Linked DNA regions of Caenorhabditis elegans. The protein of the gene in region 3 purifies or fractionates together with the protein of the main gene of each other region. This does not show direct contact. Each region holds a gene or a part of one and is shown on either strand. Other genes may lie near its edges. The genes, in order: hpo-8, paqr-2 and acs-4.

The links.
Region 1: the proteins of acs-4 (region 3) and hpo-8 purify together in Caenorhabditis elegans (affinity purification with western blotting, with the first as the bait; one study listed by BioGRID). This does not show direct contact.
Region 2: the proteins of acs-4 (region 3) and paqr-2 purify together in Caenorhabditis elegans (affinity purification with western blotting; one study listed by BioGRID). This does not show direct contact.

The regions. Positions count from the first base shown.
Region 1 is NC_003283.11:6,836,510-6,840,754, reverse strand, and holds hpo-8 (Very-long-chain (3R)-3-hydroxyacyl-CoA dehydratase hpo-8), read right to left. Parts: upstream 1,467-4,245; 5' UTR 1,460-1,466; coding exon 1,410-1,459; intron 1,351-1,409; coding exon 1,233-1,350; intron 1,184-1,232; coding exon 1,076-1,183; intron 1,025-1,075; coding exon 900-1,024; intron 848-899; coding exon 592-847; 3' UTR 501-591; downstream 1-500. Other genes in the region: lgc-54 (Ligand-Gated ion Channel), read left to right, coding at 3-102, 150-234, 288-469; T15B7.15 (GRIP domain-containing protein), read left to right, coding at 2,211-2,276, 2,335-2,457, 2,505-2,646, 2,703-2,856, 3,251-3,521, 3,565-3,672, 3,722-3,874, 3,920-4,030; col-143 (Nematode cuticle collagen N-terminal domain-containing protein), read right to left, coding at 4,092-4,245. UniProt on the Caenorhabditis elegans protein: Catalyzes the third of the four reactions of the long-chain fatty acids elongation cycle. This endoplasmic reticulum-bound enzymatic process, allows the addition of two carbons to the chain of long- and very long-chain fatty acids/VLCFAs per cycle.
Region 2 is NC_003281.10:5,374,639-5,381,982, forward strand, and holds paqr-2 (Adiponectin receptor protein), read right to left. Parts: upstream 5,292-7,344; 5' UTR 5,282-5,291; coding exon 5,198-5,281; intron 5,121-5,197; coding exon 5,031-5,120; intron 4,499-5,030; coding exon 4,395-4,498; intron 4,347-4,394; coding exon 4,207-4,346; intron 3,525-4,206; coding exon 3,157-3,524; intron 2,749-3,156; coding exon 2,014-2,748; intron 1,801-2,013; coding exon 1,576-1,800; 3' UTR 1,575-1,575; intron 1,527-1,574; 3' UTR 1,061-1,526; downstream 1-1,060. Other genes in the region: Y32H12A.6 (Flavodoxin-like domain-containing protein), read right to left, coding at 6,402-6,577, 6,623-7,088, 7,155-7,344.
Region 3 is NC_003281.10:7,165,607-7,171,716, reverse strand, and holds acs-4 (long-chain-fatty-acid--CoA ligase), read right to left. Parts: upstream 3,880-6,110; coding exon 3,826-3,879; intron 3,758-3,825; coding exon 3,611-3,757; intron 3,564-3,610; coding exon 3,474-3,563; intron 3,397-3,473; coding exon 2,617-3,396; intron 2,568-2,616; coding exon 1,610-2,567; intron 1,531-1,609; coding exon 1,364-1,530; 3' UTR 727-1,363; downstream 1-726.

The DNA.
Region 1 (4,245 bases), on a different chromosome or scaffold from region 3:
AGAAAAAAAGACAGAAAGAAAAATAACTATGGTGCAACTACAGTAACCAATGCAAATGCAGCAGAGAGCGACTTGAGGAGCAATTATGATGAGCCTTTTTCAGTGAGATTATTGATTTTTTTTATTATTTTAAATGTATTATCTTTTAGCAGAACGGGACTACAAGCCATAAAATTTCAATTTCTCGACAAGCGAACAATATGTTCGAATCTTTGCACGCTCTCGCACAATTCGGTACTTTTAAATAAATTTGTGCATCGTTTATTCTCTAAATATTACTTTTCCAGGACTCCTCACGGATGACGATGACGAAAATACCAAATGGACTGCACAAAATGTCGACAAATTCTGCAGAAAAGCATTTCCATTGTCGTTTTGTTTTCTGAATCTCATATATTGGTGTTATTATTTATACCAGAATTATTTGGCAAAGGCCGAAGCTCTTGCTCAAATGACGCCACCATCCTGATTTTCGGGTGACTGTTTTTTTAGAAGACATTACGGGAGAATAATTTATGAATAAAGTTGAATTTTGATTGGTTGCAATTAATCTAGAATACACTGTAATATAAATACACGTAGAATTTTTCTTTACTGCTTCTTCTTGCTTCCTCCGCCGAGAATCTTCTTTCTTTGACCGATCATGTAGAAGTAAAGTTGTGGGAATCCGGGAATGTAGCTGAGAGCAGCAATGATGAGCACCCACCAGAAGGAGATTCCCATGTTGAGACGGTTTGGCATCTCGAGGGTAAGGATTTTCTTCTCATCAACTTCATTTAATGAAGCGAACAACGTCAGAAGCTCTCCGGAGACTCCCATTGGGTAGAGAACGTAGAAGAGGGTGTATCTGTAATTAAAATAGTTGAGTTATAGCATTGATCCCCAGAATCTCAAAATACCTGAGGTAGAGAAGGAAATATGGGATTGGTTGTTTCAATACGCTGAGTGCATAGAACGAGTACCGGATGACCTCTGTTACGGACCAGGCAACAAGAAGAAGTGGAACTCCGATACTGAAGCGAGCCTAAAAATTGGTTTAATTTATTCAAGTTTAAGATAAAAAATTCCAACTCACTGTTGAGCACAAGTGGAGGATTGGCCAGACAAGGACGACGCGAGATGTTACTTGCATTGCGGTAGTTCCAACTGGTGAACGAACAAGTCCGACAATTGCGTGAATGACCTGAATATGATAATTTCTTTAAAAGTTTTTCAATTTCAACAAAGCTAACCTCGAGAATAGCTGCGGTTTGGAAGATTTTAAGCTCAAATTCCACCGATTCGTAAAGTTGTGGCCATGTCAAGCCATTAGCGAGTCCAAGAACTGTTTTCACAAGAATTGCAGACCATCTGAAATTAATTTAAATTATTAAAATTATAGTGAACTTCTTTCAGAAAAAAAAACGTACCCTAAAATTTGTAACACGTTGTACGCAACCAGATACGTCTGAACGCTCATTGTTACCCTGCAAAAATAAGGATTTTAGGCAATGCAAAGAAAAGAAAATGAGAAAAGTATATCACGCCACACGAAAAAAAAGATGAAAGGGTAGAATGGAGTGATGTACAACAGAAACGTTATCAGTCAACTTGCGGGGAGTTTGAAGAAACATTTAGCGAAAACATAAAATGGGACATTTTATGTAATGTAAAACATTGGTAAAATTCGAAAGTTTAATTGAAAATATATAAATCTTCATACGATATCTTGGTTGATACAGGAAAAATGTAAATTTCTTAGTTTTTCAGAAAAATTATGAGAGCGAGGTTATTTATTTTTAATAAAAATTGAAGACTTCAGTTTTTTAATTGGAAATTAATCAAAAAATCTAGAAATAAATCACTTAAATTAAGAAAATGAAAGAAAATAATTTTTAAAATTTTAATTCTTAAGAAACATTTTTCTTGACTACAACACTCCGAAATAACCCTTCGCGCTTTGTTTATCGTAAATCTACATCAGGGCGTTTTTGGGGACAGTTTAAAAAATAATTTTTTGTGGAACAGGAACAGGAACTTGAAGCAGTTTTTTTTGTTCTTGTATTAAAATATTAAATGTAATTTTGAAACTAAAGAAGACTTATTTATATTTAAGCAAACGCAGGAAATTAGTTGTTGCACCATGGACGGAAATTGAAATTTTATGGCTGACTGATCTGAACTCTAGACATTCTGAGTTCTTTTACGTATTACTTTAGTTACTCACAACTATGATTTCTAAACAACGCCAGGATTCTGATGAAAAACCTCTCGAGGAACAGTTAGAGTTACTGCAGGTGGTTTTAATTTTTGAAAATATTATCAAAATTACTTTAAATTTTATGCTTCATTCAGGAAAAAATCGCAGAAATGATAGTAACAAATGAGGCGACCGAGAATCAGTTGACAAATTTAACATTCGAGTCGAACGATGTGATTATTTATCTGAAAAAATTGGTTGAAGAGAAAGACGAAGAGGTAAGAGAGGAATTAGAGAAAAAGGCAAAGAACGAGCATTGTTTCAGACTGCTCGTTTGGAAGAAATGTTGGAAGAACAGAGAAAAGAATCAGATAGAATGTTTAAAATTCATAGAGATAATTCTGAATTAGAAGAGAAGAAATTGAAAGAGCAAATTGAAAAGTTAAAGAGTGAAATGAGCATTATGGGTAGGCCGAAAAGAGAATAGTGAAAGTAGAATTAAAAACTTTTTCAAAATTTTTAGATACACAACTGGGAAACCAGCATCGTATCGAGCTAGAAATCATTGAGATGGGTGCAAAACTGAATTCTCTACAAGGTGTCGTTGATGAACAGGAAGAGACAATTCGAAGAAAAGAAGCAGAAGAAAGAAGCGTCAAAATTGCAGCTATTGAGCAGTAGGTTTCAAAAAATTGTATAAATTGAGGGGTTACGATGGTAGATGGGCTCGCCTTCGTGCCTATTTGTCTGCGTCTGCCTAGAGCCTACACGCCTGAACGGCTCCCTAAAATTTTGCAACAAAAATTATTAGTCAAAAATATATATTTCAGTTCCTAAAACCTACTAAACCAACACAAGTATCGTTTTTTGTGTTCCAAAAAATTGTCTTTAATATCAGGAGTTACCGAGTTTGCCAAGCTATGGAAATTGCATTTTCTGAAAAAAAAATATGCAGACTCATTTAGCATCTGGTTGTTTAAAAGAAATACTTGGTCCTTTTCGACCACTAAAGTCTCGTACTTTTATATTGTCACGTCGCAAATCATCTAGAGAATTAAATGAAAATTCCAGAGCTCGTGCAGATTTGAGCGCCGAGTTCGAGCAAGCTGTTGCTGAGATCCGTATTGAAGCAAGTCTGGAGAGCAAAGGTCACACTCTGATGAATAATCAAGTAATTGAACATTTGGAATTAGAACTTACCAGAAAGAAGCAAGATATGTTACGAATGGAGCAAATGCTCGAGGAGAAACAATCCGAATTGACGCAAGAAATAGGAAAAACTCAGGAACGTGAAGAAGAGAATTTAAAATTACGGAGTCTTTTGGAAAAGAGTGGCCAGACTGTGAGTTATTTCCTTCCTAACTTTTTTATTTAGTCTTTTCCAGACTGAAAAGGCATTGAAAGATAGTAAGAGACGACTGGAAGAATCGGAGAATAAACGAAAAACTACTCTCGAGAAATATATTCAAATTGAGAATGAATTGAATAGTAAAGTAAGTGTTGAAACTTTTGAAATAAATATAGCAAAATAATAACTTATAGCTAGACGAAGCTCTTCAAAACTCAGACAAGTGCCAAAAAATGACGTCACTTCTTGAAGATCAGCTTCTGAGAGAACAACAGACAAGGAAAGCGACAATTGATTCTCACAAGGCTCAAAATAAGAAAATTGAAGAACTCAAAGTATTCTTTAAGGTAATTCAAAACAACTTATTCCATTATTTTTTCTCTTTATTTCAGGATGTTCTATCCAGTGAAGAAGGTCTTCTAGACGAAGTTATAAAAGAGAATCGAAATGCTGTGTTTGCTCATCTTGCTTTGATTATATCTAGAATTCCAATTGTTCGCTAATGTACATATATGAAATTATCAAAAATTGTATGCTGAATATTTATTAAACAATGACTGTTGCTTAGACGGCCTGTGCGTGAACGCGAGCTCTGCGTTGAACGGCAACACGGCGGCGAGCTGCGATACGGTGACGGACAACAACACGGTTGCGGGCAACATTTCGATTGACAGCGACGCGGCGGTTGACGGCCATGACAGAAGAACGGGCTGGGCAT
Region 2 (7,344 bases), 1.8 Mb from region 3:
GATTTTTGTCGGTTATTTTGAAGCAAAATCCGGAAAATCGCGAAAAGATTCTAATGATTAATGCTTAATCCTTTTGAAGGAAGAAAAATATTATCAAAATATATAAACTGGCATGTGAAACGTGGCTTATTTTTTATTTTGTTTTTTATTTAAGCTCCTCCCATTCCTGACCTTTCGTTGAAATTTTCATTTATTAGTTTATTAAAAAATGGGAGGAGCTTAAATAAAAAACAAAATAAAAAATAACCCACGTTTCACATGACAGTTTATATATTTTGATAATAACAAAATATTATTTTTCATTTTGATTCAGGAAATTTTCAGGAGAATGGGAGGAAAGTTGGAGCTAATAAATCGAAAATTTTGTTGTTTTTATCAGAGCAGAGACAAGAAATTGTTAGAATGCGGCGACCCGAAAGAAAAAAGAAAGAAAAATAGAATAAAAAACTGAGGAGCAACAAGTGAACAATGTGAGAGAACAAACTAGCCGCAGAGGGTGCAGACATGCATACAAGTGTACGAAGAGAACGGAGACTCTGCGTGACACACAACTCTGGCACTGGAATAATTTTTTGGGGCTGAAAACAAAAAATTCTAAAATAAACAAACAAATCTGAAAATTTGTCTACTTTTGGTACCGTACTCCATTTAAAGGGACATTCTACTATAGTATGCGTGGGTCTCGCAGAGATACAATATTTAATCCCTATTTTCGTAGATGCGCCTTTCAAGTTACTGTACTCGAGATTGTTTAATAAAATTCCTTAAATTATCGACTTCAAACCAATTTCAGATTTCAGCACTTCCTGATCGCCTGAGAACATTGAAAAACCAAAAATCTGATCAAATTTCAAGTAAAATGAAGAAAAAGGGTGATTTTGCTAGATTTTCACCTGCATGGTGTGGAACTACGAGTTTTTTCTGTAGAAAACTGATGAGAAATTGCAAGATATGTGATTTCGTGAATGTTTCGCTAAAACTCTTAAATTTCCGCTATTTTACAGACACTAGCGCTTGGTAATTATGCCGACTTCATGAATTGTTCGAAAAATCACAAAAAAAAATCGAAAATTTTATTTTAAATCGCCTAGACGACTACACTCACACGAAAATAGAATAATGGGCTACACAGTAAAATGAAATTCATAAAATACGAAAAAGAAAAAAAAAACAAAGCTCGAAAAGTTCAATGTTAAAGTTTAAAAAAACCAAATCTGGTTCCGAGAAAATGAAGGAGAACGCGAAAACAAGAAAAGAATAATAAGAAAACTAATTTCAATGGAAGAAAACGGAACGAAAAGGGGGAATAAAATGAAAAAAGGAGTGTATAGAATTTATCACATTGGAATTTTAGCTGAGAATGTTTCGACAGATAGTTGAGGAGCGTGGGGAAGGGGAACCAGGTAATTTGAAAGAAAATGGAAAAAAAAATGGTGAAAATGAGCAGAAAAAGGATAGTATGAAGAGGGTTGTAGCAGCTTCAAGAAGAGCATATATACGCAACTATACATATTGTGCAGAGGTTTCTGAAAATTATAAATTTTTTAAAAATAAAAAATTGGAAACAAATCTACCTCATAAACCAACATCCGCCGGTGTCCAGTCTCTGACATTGAGTGGCTCGTCGAGCCCAAGCAAAGTGCCAACGAAGGAAGGATTCAACTCGTTACCGTAACGAGTTTTCAGTTGATCCGGGCAGGATCCTTTCATGAGCTTATGCATTCCCATTTGGGAGATCGCGTGATAATGAACAAAAGCGGCGAGCACGACAAATGTGTGAAAGAGTTGATGCGATTGGAACTGAAAAAATAAACGTTATTAGTTTTTTTTTGAGTAAAAAAGATTGTTTAGCTTTTATTTTTTGAGTCTTTTTCGTATTTTCGTAAATTTTCTTTTGCAAAATGTGGTTTAAAATCTTTAAAGTTATGTTGTCTGGTTTTCCGGAAAACCGAGAATTGAAAATATATATTTTTATATTTTTCTCCAATTGCTAGTTTTTTTGAAACCACATACCCAAATATCGCACTTTCCAGGGAAACATCTCTCAGGTACACGTGTCGCATAGAGTGTTGCACCACCAATATACATGGCTCCCATCATAATCATCAAATGAACTTGTGACTCCTCAACCATATAATGAACACCGTCAACTACAAGTAAATGAAATGCTGGGACCACAGCCGATAGGCCCATTGCTATGAAAACTGCTGCTCGTACAGGCCGGAATTTGGGCTCCGCGAATTTATCCCAAAGCGAGACGACCATTGCAGCGATTCCAAGTATAATAATCATTCCGTTGTATATTATCATTGGTTGAGGTCTACAGTAGAATGCAAAATAGATCCACGGAACAAATGATCCAACGATGAGTAAGGAAATCCCAGTGTAATCGAGTTTACTGAACAGTTTAGCCATTTCAATAGAATGGCATGCAACCGTATGAAAAAGGAATGACATTCCAAGACATATCACTGCACCGAGGAAAAACGCCGAGTAGATCAATTTCTCCACCCATTGCATTTGATCATGGGGACGAGTCAGAAACCATATTCCGATACCGAAGAACGCAACACATCCATACATATGAGTCCAAATGTTTCCTGTTTCAGTGTGCAATGCAAAAATACTCTTGAAGCAGCTACTGAACGATGGAAGTGGAGGACGATGTCCTGTACGGAGGTATTCGTTATCTTGAAGCCATTCGGGTAGAGTTTCGAAATTTGTTGCCTTCCAGCGGGCTTCCCAGAACTGAAAATAATTTTGTAATATTTTTTTTTTAACTTTAATCGTTTTTTTTAACCAAAAAATTATTCTTTAAGATTTCTCATAATTTCAAGTAATTGTCTTGCAAAAAATATGTAGAAACTTATCAAAAATGTATATTTTTGAAAATTTTCTTATCAATAGCTCACATGTGTGCAAAATTTTTTGGCTCCTAGTACAAAGAAAATTTTGAATGTAATCAGAAAACTTTTAATAGAAAGAAAAACCAAATCAAACATTTTCGGAGATTCGTGAATTTTCAAAACTTATTAGAAATGTTTTTCTCTACATAATTTGTTTAAAGCAAAATTGCCGCCAATTAACATTTATCGCTGCATTTTTTGCTTTTTTTTGTTGCAATTTTGCAATTATCTCACTGGAGTTTTCCCTCACCCTCTTGATAACAGCTCTTGGTCCTTCTCCAGTTTCGCTAGGAATAATAACTTCTTCTTCATTAATCTCAACTTCAAGCTCATCATCATCATCACTATGATCCAAATGAATCTCCGCATCATGTCCAGCAGTAACAAATCTCAAATGTTTTCCATCTTCGTGTCCCCGACGTTGTGGATGTAATTTGTATTTGACAATTCGTCGACGATGCTGATTTCCACCTTCTTCATGATTATCATGAATAACTGCAACTGTCATCTTTTCTCCTTTTGCATTCGGCATACTCCATGCTCGACGATGTCCTTTTTTGAATGGTAATGCGGCTGCTTTAGACGTTGATGGGACATCTCCATTGTCAATTTCGATTCCTATAGAAATCATTTAGTAATAGTGTAGTTTAGTGAAAGGAGGGAAGTATTTTTGAAAAAAACGAATGAGAACACTTCCTGTCACCTAAAATTAATTTGAGGTGACGGTCAACAAGTTTTTTTTTGGTTGGAAATTTAACTTTTAATTCACTAATTTATTAAACGAGAGATCGGTGTAAATGATGCGATTTTTGGTTTATTTCGTTACACTGTAAACAAATAGTAAAAAAAAATTTTTTTTTGAAAATGTTCTCATAAATTGCGCAAAACTCTTATTTTTTGTTTGGTTTTGCTTTAATATCAAAAGCTCAAAAGAAATATTTTGTTTTGTTTTTATTGAACATTTTTAAAAATCGATTTTTTTACATTTAAAAGCCTTTTTTTCTTGAACTCTAACCTTTATGGGAATTAAATTGGATAAATCGATAATTTTTGAAAAAATTGGTTTAGATTTTTATTTGGAACATCATAAATAATGTAAATGTGTGAATTTTTTAATTAGAAACATTTCTTCAAAAATTCCATTTTTATGGACGAATTTTAATACTTCTCAAGAAGAATTTGTGGGAATGAACTATGAAATGAATATCAAAAATCGGTTCAAATACAAAAAGCATGTTATGCGAAATATTAAAGTATTTTTCGCACTTTAAAAAAAAATCATTTTTTTCAATAACCTTACCTTCAAGCAAAGTTGGAAGCCTATTCTGCCTTGTCACATACATTGATTCGTCTCTTTGCTGACTTGCAGGCTGTTCAACAACCTTACTATGACGAACAATAATCTCAAATCGTTGACCATCTGATGGCTGACTATTCGGACTGAAACAATGTTTTTTTGGAAGAAAAAAAAATCTGATGATTATTTACAATTGAACATCGACTTGATCAACAATCACATTCTGATTCTCTTGTGTATCAGCCAACTGCAGCGGTCCGTCAGTGATAATATTTTCTGCCTCTCGGAGCACATCCTGCAATGCACTTTTCAATTTTTCAAAATTTGATTTCTGATCACCGTAAAAATAACATTTGTCATATGAGGGCAAGCAGTGATAAATATGAAAACACGAAGTGGCTGGCTGGAGCTTGAAGAATGATATTCTAGCTTTTTTAATATTAAATAAGAATTAGCGGTAACTGACCACTAAAAAAATAGGAAAAGGTTTCAGAAAAATTCTCACTATTTGTTTTTATTGGTTTGCAGGAAATTCAAAAATAATGCCGTTAATTTTTTTTTGTATATCTGAAAAAACCTAAACTTCAGAAACTTTAAAATTTTTATACAGCTACAGCTTTAAATACCGAGAAAAAATTTCAATTTTTTTTTGAAAATAGAAGATCTGAAATAGTGGAAAATTACCATTTCTTTGAAAACACTTTTTCTTCAAAAAAACATCTCCAAACAGTGAGAATTTCTTAAAACTTCTAGCTCCAGCCACCACTCACCGACAACAAAAATCAATAATCATATGCTAATCTCTTTCAACCCAACAAAAAACGTACAGTAACACTCCGCAATGGGCTTTGTAGATTACTGCTATTCCGATTTTCCATAATTAATTCATCATTGTCCAACACCATCACCATATCTCTCTGAAATGTAATAAATTAAAACTAAAAACTGTGTTTTTTTTCTTTTTTCATAGAATAGATCACGTGAAATAGATTACCTCGTCAAACGAATTTCGAACGCTTTTTTGCAAAAGTTTTTGCGATTCCGCCGGTGTTGCCGATTCCACGTCATCTTCCTCCATTTTGTTAAAGCTGAATTTTAGTTTTTAAAATTTTTTTCAACCGAGAATATAAGAAATTCCAGAAAAAAATCAAATAAAATCGGAACTGTGAGAGAATAAAGCGGATATTGATTAAAAAGCTTTTGCTCACACATACAAACCAAAAGCGCAAAGTTTTCTCCGTTTTCTCAAGAAAGCTTATGAGACAAGAGGGCGACTCGTGCTGCTGGAATGTGTGTTGGTGCGGGGAAGCGCATTTGCTGACCGGAGACTCAGAAGAGGTCAAAGTACTCCTGCATGAATTGGATCCAATGTAGTGAAATTATGACTTCCTTGTTTAAAATATGAGTTTCTGAAAAATTTGTTGAGTATTTTCAACGAGCTTTCAAGTTAAAACAGATTTTTTGTGTTTCCCGATGTAAAGCTCCAAGACGTGTTCGAAGAAATGGCGGAAAAATCGGCGGAAAAAAATTTGGGAAGTTACGCGAATTTTCCATGAAAAAAAGATTCGAAGGCAATTTTTCATATAATTTTTAAATAGTTTTCAATTTAAGTTATCGAAAATTGAGGATTTTAATGTTTTAAATGAAGAAAACACCTGAAAAACCACAAAACTTCGCTAAAAATTAACAAAAGATAAACGAAAAAGACACAATTGATATTCGTGATGAGACCCAAAGTGGAAGTGGTATGTGCCTTTAACAACTCGTTACGGTATTTTGCTTCTAAACTTTTTTTTGAGTTCTTTTACAAAAAGGTTTTCGTAGATTTCTAGTTTTCAGCACTGATCAAACTCATTCTAATTTTTTAATGCTTCGAAATATGCAAAAAAAAACTCCAATTATTTACAAGAAGCAACGGAAACAGCTAAACTTTAGAGCCCGTGCCGAGACCCGTCCTGGAAATGACATGCGCCTTTAAAACTACACTACGGTAATTTGGATCAATATTTACTTTCTCAAAAATTAATGTTTTCTTATTATTTTGGCAGTCACCAATATTCTTTAAAAAAAGCGAATTTATTTATGAAAAATGTTGAAAAAATAATACAAATATACAAAATATCTTTAAAATGCAGGAAAATTCAATTAAAGCTCGATATATAAACAATTATTAAAATATAAATATTTATATTCAAATTTTATTTCGACTTCTTATGTTTCTCTTCGACTTCATTATCATCCGAAGAGCTCTCAGATCTATCGTCTCCAACTTCCGATTCTTCGGTGTCTTCACCACTCATTCCAGGAAGATGCTTATCCATTTGCAAAAGGAGTTCGAACGAAAATTCCACAAATCGCTCCATAGTTTGCTTATCTGAAACTCAACATTTTAACAATAATCATTATTACGGTATGATACCAGTGTCAGTTGTATTGAAAAGTTCGACTTCAGTAATTTGCCTAGCTCCCAAGATTTTCATTCGTTTCAGCAAAGTTCTGGCGACTTTATTGAACCCAGCTGGCCCATCATCACTGCTTCCGAAGCCAACAATTGAAAATCTGATTTTCTCGAAATTCGCCTTCTTTCTAAGCTTCGAGTCCGCTGCGAGATCCTCAAGCCATTCCAAAAACCATTCTGTCGAGGGTGTCGGCTGACCACCAGCCGTAGTTTCAGAGATAAAAATACAAAATCCCTTGAAGGCCATTAACTCCTTCACATCCAAAGAGTCTGACCACCAAATCATCGGTTTTCGGACCATTTCATCACAAAGCTTGTCGTGAATCACCTTGGCCCACGGAGCTGCGAGCCCGTCTTCTTTTCCTAGAACTATTACGACGGCTTCTGATTCGGCAAGTTCCTCGGCAAGTCGTTCTTCTTCTTTTTTCTGAAAGAAATTGGAAGTCGTGGCGAGACCAGATTTTTGTTGATTTTGTTTTCCACTATTACCAACCTTTGAATAACGTTCATAATATGCATGGCACTTGCGATAGAGCAGATAGACAAATCCCGGCATCAGAACTCCCAAAGCGGCAGTTATGTATAGCAGAATCTCGTCCTTTCCTTCCAAATAATCCTCGAGCCACGACTGCGGCTCCTTGCCACGTGGACCTCCTTCAGGTCGCAGTGGTGGAACTTGGTAG
Region 3 (6,110 bases):
CCTTGGAGGCACACAGGCAAGCACTTTTATGCATACGTGAAAGATTTGATTTCGGAAATTATTGAAATTCAAAAAATAAATTTTCTGTTTTTCTAAAATTGTGGGTTTTGATATTTGCAGTCACTGATTATGGAATGTTATGAAGAGGGAAATTTCAAAAACTAAGGAAGAAGACGGCATTTTCATAACATTTACCATTTACCAATCATAACATTACCTTTATTTTTTAAAGGTTTTATCCCAACATTAAAAATGTGTACAATAATTATCAAATTTTCAGTTTAAAAGATAAAGGAAAGATGAGGACTAAAAATTCCAGTCAATCAAGGCTTCTTCAATTTTCTACTTCTACGTGAAAACTCTCGCCTGAAAAAGTAAGTTTAAAGCTCACAAGTAATATAAAATTACTCTTCCGTTTGAAATTAACCTGCATGATTTATTCCAATTAAAATGAAAAATCAATTTCAAAACAAACTGTCATTAGAGCCCCTCTTGCAGCTGATAAATTTATTGGATCATCAATCAATAATCCACCAAAATATCTCGATAGAATAGTAAGTGTTGTATATGTTCCAAAAAAGATATATTGATCTTCAAATGAAGATTTCTTCTTTGTTTTGTCTATTCTTGTTCTAGGCGTCACAGGAATCGCTCATCTTCGAACCAATGACGTTGAAAGATGGTCGATCAACGACTAGTGTGTAGATTCAGTACAGAAGATCATTTATCAATCTTTTTTATTTCACATCTGTGTGTGACAATACAAGGATGGAATCAAATAGATGTTTTGGGGAGAAGGGACGAGATAAATAGAAAAAGATGGGGGAAAATGTGTGTATTTCTGTGTCGGTGTGAAAGGAACAACCCATTTGGCAAAAACAAACTATTGATCGAATGAATTTGTAAAAATTGAAAATCTATCTTAACACCCTTGAAATCTCGATGGATTTCATTGAAAAACAAAAATGTTGTCAGCATTTTCATTTTTGAAAACAATCTACCTAATTTTCAGGGGCGACCAAAATATAAAGCGTTTGGATGTTTGGGGAAAAGGAATCAGGGGCTCTAGAAAGAATAAGTTACGAATAGGTACGATGTGTGAAAAACAAGTTAGAAAAGCTCTTTGATGGTGGAAAGGGAAGGAGAATACGGGAAAGAGTAGCATGAAACACGAATCTTTACAGAATAGGAATGAAACCTAAAGCTTCCGGTATGAAAGCTAACAGATTATGCTGCTATAAATGAGGGAAGTATACAAAAGAGATGGGAATCCAATATCGAGTATCTCGAATAGGTGGGGAAGAGCAAGTTACCAGTGTGAAAAGGGCGGGAAAAGAAAAAAAGAAAGCTAGGAAGACATGAATCAATTCTTTTTGAGCTGCTTATACAGATCATCGAGGGTCTTCTGGTAGGCCATTTGGATAGGCTTTCTCTTCAGCTTGAGTGCTTCGGTAAGAAGGCCAGTGTCAGGAGTCCAAATCTCGGGGCAAAGATGAATCGCGGCTGGGATTTCAGAGCGGGAAAGTTTGCCTGAAACAATATACATTTTTAGGGAACCACAATTTAATTATTTTAAACATTAGAACGTTCATAATTTCTCAAAACTAACTTTTCTTGGCATGTTCTTCGAGTTGTTTCTTGTAGGCAGCAATGACCTTCTTATCTTCACACATCGTCTTCATTTCACTAGTTGATACACCTTCCGCTTCAGCAATCTTCTCCAAGTGCTTCTGGTTTGGAACCACAAGAGCAACAACACTGTCTTCCATTCCACTTCCATAAACGCAGATGTTATCAACAATTGGGCAATTGAGAAGTGCACATTCAACTTTAGCGAGAGAAACATATTCTCCGTGTTGCAATTTAACCAAATCCTTCTTTCTGTCAATAATGAGAAGAGAACCATCATCACGCTTCTGTCCAATATCTCCAGTGGCAAAGTACACTTTTCCTTTATAGGTGATGAAATCTTCAGCGGTCTTTTCTGGTTGTTTATAATATCCAGGTGAGATGTTTTCTCCAGAAATAAGAATCTCTCCTTGTGGTGGATCATTGAATGGTGAGTATCCACCTTCGGACCACTCACGAAGAGCAATATCTGAGCATCTGACTGGGGGACCAACGGTTCCTGTGCTCAAGTCGTTGATATCAGCAACACAAGCAGCTCCACAAGTTTCTGTGAGTCCGTATCCTTGAACAACAGGGCAGCACATACAAATATTCATGAATCTTTGAGTTTCAGCGTTCAATGGGGCTCCACCAGACAAAACACCACGAAGTTTTCCTCCCAAAAGTCTGCGAATCTTTTTGAATACGATGCGATCAAGGAATGGACTGCAGTAACCCTCCAAATAGCGGGATCTCTTTCTCTCATAATTAAGTTTGAACAATTCTTGCATGAAACGAGGTGATGCAGCAACTTCTTCGGAGACGGCCTTGAAAATTCGATCCATAATAGCTGGAACAGCAGCCATAAGAGTTGGGCGGAGGGCATGACAATCTCCATGTGTTCCCTTTTGGATTTTTGATGCACGGTCGTGAAGTGTCAAGGGTGAAGAATATCCAACCTTAAAATAAATGGGTAAAATGAGTTTTAAATCCAATAAAAATTCTTACCTTGGCTCCTTTAGTCAAACATGTCAATTCGGCATCCAATTCGAGAATATGAGCAAGTGGAAGATACCCAATGTATGTATCTGCATTGCATATGATTCCAACACCATCCCCTTGTCCCAACAAAGCAGCCACAACGTTTTGATGAAGAAGAATAACTCCTTTTGGCTGACCAGTTGTGCCAGAAGTGTACATGATGAGGGCAATGTCTGACTTCACAGCTGTAGATTCTTTAACTTGTTCCTGATTGCGAGTAAGAAGTCCGCTCAGTGATAGAACATGTTTGAACTGATCACGGAACGGTGCAAGCTCTGGTGCTGGTGCTTTCTGGTCCACAGGAGCGAAATAAATCAGGGTCTTCAGAGTTGGACATTTCTTTCCAAGCGTTACAATCTTTGGAAGAAGTTCCGAAGAAGTGACAAGAATTGTAGCTTCAGTCTCTCCGATGGCATGAGCAATTGCGTCTTCTCCCAAAGTTGCGTATACAGTTACGATGGTGACGTTGGCACGGAAACAGGCAAGAGCAGTGATGAGCCAATCTGCACGAGTTTCAGCAAAGATAACAACTTTCGGATTTTGTTCTTCATGGGCAAGATCCTTGATACCGGCTGCGAGGCGGGCGACTTGAGTTTCAACTTCTTTGTAGCTCTGCCACACATACTCTCCAAGATGCCACTTCTCAAACACACGGCCTCCAGGTTGTTTATCTTCGTGAACTTCAATAAGCTGTCGAGTTCCCAAACATGGCGATTCATCGTAGAGTTCGACGCACTTTCTCCAAACCTAAAATTTAAAGCATGAAATGTGCTACTTCAGCTTTTATCGAATTCTGCAATGCAGATCTTTGCACACTTGCCTACCTTATCAACTGTGTCTTTTCCTGGGAATGTTTCTGAAGCATGTCCTTGAATATTACGGATTGGTCCATCACGATCGTCAACCCAATTTGCCTGAAACAGATAATACGGATAAATTAATATTAAAAGTATTGACAAACCTTTACTCGCTCCGACTTCCGAAGCTTTTCCGTTGGCGAATTGAACAACTGGTATGGCAAGTAGTTGAGACAATCGTATATGAAAAACCACACACGAAGGATGGCCATAGCTACACGAATCCATATTGGTGATTCACCTTTCACTACCTGAAAATAGAACTTGTTGGAAACTTTCAAACAAAAAATCGTAAAATGTCCTAAACAAAAACACGAACCTGGCCGAGTGTCTTATCCTTTGAAGAATCGTATACCGAAACTTTCCGTTTCATCTGTAAATAACGAAAATTAGAAGAGATTATTCTAAAGAAAAATGGGAAGAATGTACAAGACCGTGACGCATGGAATAGAGAATGTATATAATATGATATGTATACAGAAGCAGCATTTCTACAGTTTTGGGAACATAAAGAACAATTTTTAATTCACGATGAGCAAAATTGCTAGACAAAAAATTACGAGAATTGCGAGAATAATGCAAGAAGGGAAAATATATTTCTGTGCAAATATTTGACAATTTTTTTTCTCATCTTCTCCCGTTCAGAGTGCAGCCTATTTGTCTTACATCAAAAAGTCCAATAATTGTTGCAGTTTTTGCGACGTTCTTTTTAAACATTATTATGGTTAGCTGCCGATGAAAAAGAGGAAACTACATTATGTCTTTGACGGAACTCTTGATAGCATCATTTTTATAAAGTTGGAGGTGTTTCGTTTCGGACTGCAAAAGCAGAAAAAAGGGAAAACGGAAAATCGTGCTGATAAGGAAAAAACCTCAAAATAATTCCGGCATGAAAAGTCACCACGAGTTTTAAATCGTAGTTTGATTATTGTAAAATGTTAAAATTAAAAAAAAAAGTCTTAGACAGTTATTGTTGTAAAGTTAACAGCCTTCAATCTCTGGACGAAAACAATTCCTCGTCTTATCAGCATCAGTAAAAATAATATCATTATCAGGTGTTTTGCGTTATCAAATCAGTGAAATGTCGTTCGCGGTAACAATTAAGAACATGCGGAAGATGTATCGTGTTCACAATTTTCACCGTAAAAATTTCGAATGGAAAAAAGAACTGTCCGAAACAAATGACGTCTCCTTCTACATTCTGCGTGGCAACATCGCAGTTCTTCACAGGAAAAGAGAAAGAGGAGGAAAACTGCACACGCCCGTATTCTTTTCCTCTTCCTCCCTCTTCTTCCACTCTGTTCTCTCAGTTTTTTTAAACATAGGAGCGGCTCCCCTCACTCCCCATCTATTCCGCGCAGTCGTGAGACGCAGACAATGCTAGGAATGCATAGATGAACGCTGAGTTGGAAGCGGAGGTCTTTCTGCGCACACGAGTAGAGACAAAACAGAGAAAGCAACTCAGAACATGGCGCGAGATTCGGATATGGCACCACTTTTGACCTCAAGAGGACCAACAAGCTTTAAGAATAATTGTTACATTCGAGTTACATAAGTTTATACATTTAAATGTTAAGTAAGCCTTATTTTCAGAAATGCTTGCCTAAATCAGAAAAAAAACAACAGCGAGAAAATGTTAAAATGAACGTCTGGGAAAACTATTTTTTGTGATGAATCATAAGGATGGGCTGTAGAAAAAGGAAATTAAATTTTGAGAACGCGGTTTTCCTAGAAAATCATCTATAATAGTTGGACATTCAATCTAAATGGAAACAGTTAGAGAAATACTAGAATTATTCATATTGTCAAGATATTCGTCAGCCGTTTTAAATCTAATTACACGCCACCGAGGAGATACGCGACTGAAACCCTGTGGTTGCGTATTGGGTGACAGGGTACTCTTGGTGGAGGGATTAGGACAGTGTATTGATTGAAATGGGGTAATATCATACAAAAAGTAGAGTAAATAATATCTCATCAACAACGTGTTGAACTCGGTTATGTAAAACTGAATTCAGAATCATTTCGACAAGTAAAATAACTCATTTCTGCAACGTAAACGACGGGTTTGTCTACAGTCGTCATACAACTTTCACTTAATCAGTTCATCTTCTTAACACTTGATTATGTTATTGATAAAAGAGCACAAAATGACGGAGCATCGTACAAAGAAAGAGCACAAAATGAATTTGAAAGCATGATTCGTGAAGATGCACATTAGAAAACGCAGACAACACAGGCCACATTGCCCGCGTAATTTGAATTCTGCTAGGCATGGAAAGAGGGAGACCCACGGAAAACAGAAATAGTGTTTCGCAATCATATGTTCGTTTTACACGTTTACTAGACGACCGATGGAATTGTGAAAGAGTGAGTCAGTGCATGGCGTGATTTTTGGAAGAGGAAAAGTCAACATAAATAACAAAAACATTCTTGATTCAATTTTAGAATTATTTCTGAACGTTTAAAGACTGAAGAAAAATGTTACGACGCCAGAATATATTATAATATGTTATAACAAAGGAGATCCTAAAATTTGAACCCACTAGAAATTTCAGAGATTCGAGAGTATTTGCATCAGTAAAACACCTTTAAAAACGTTAA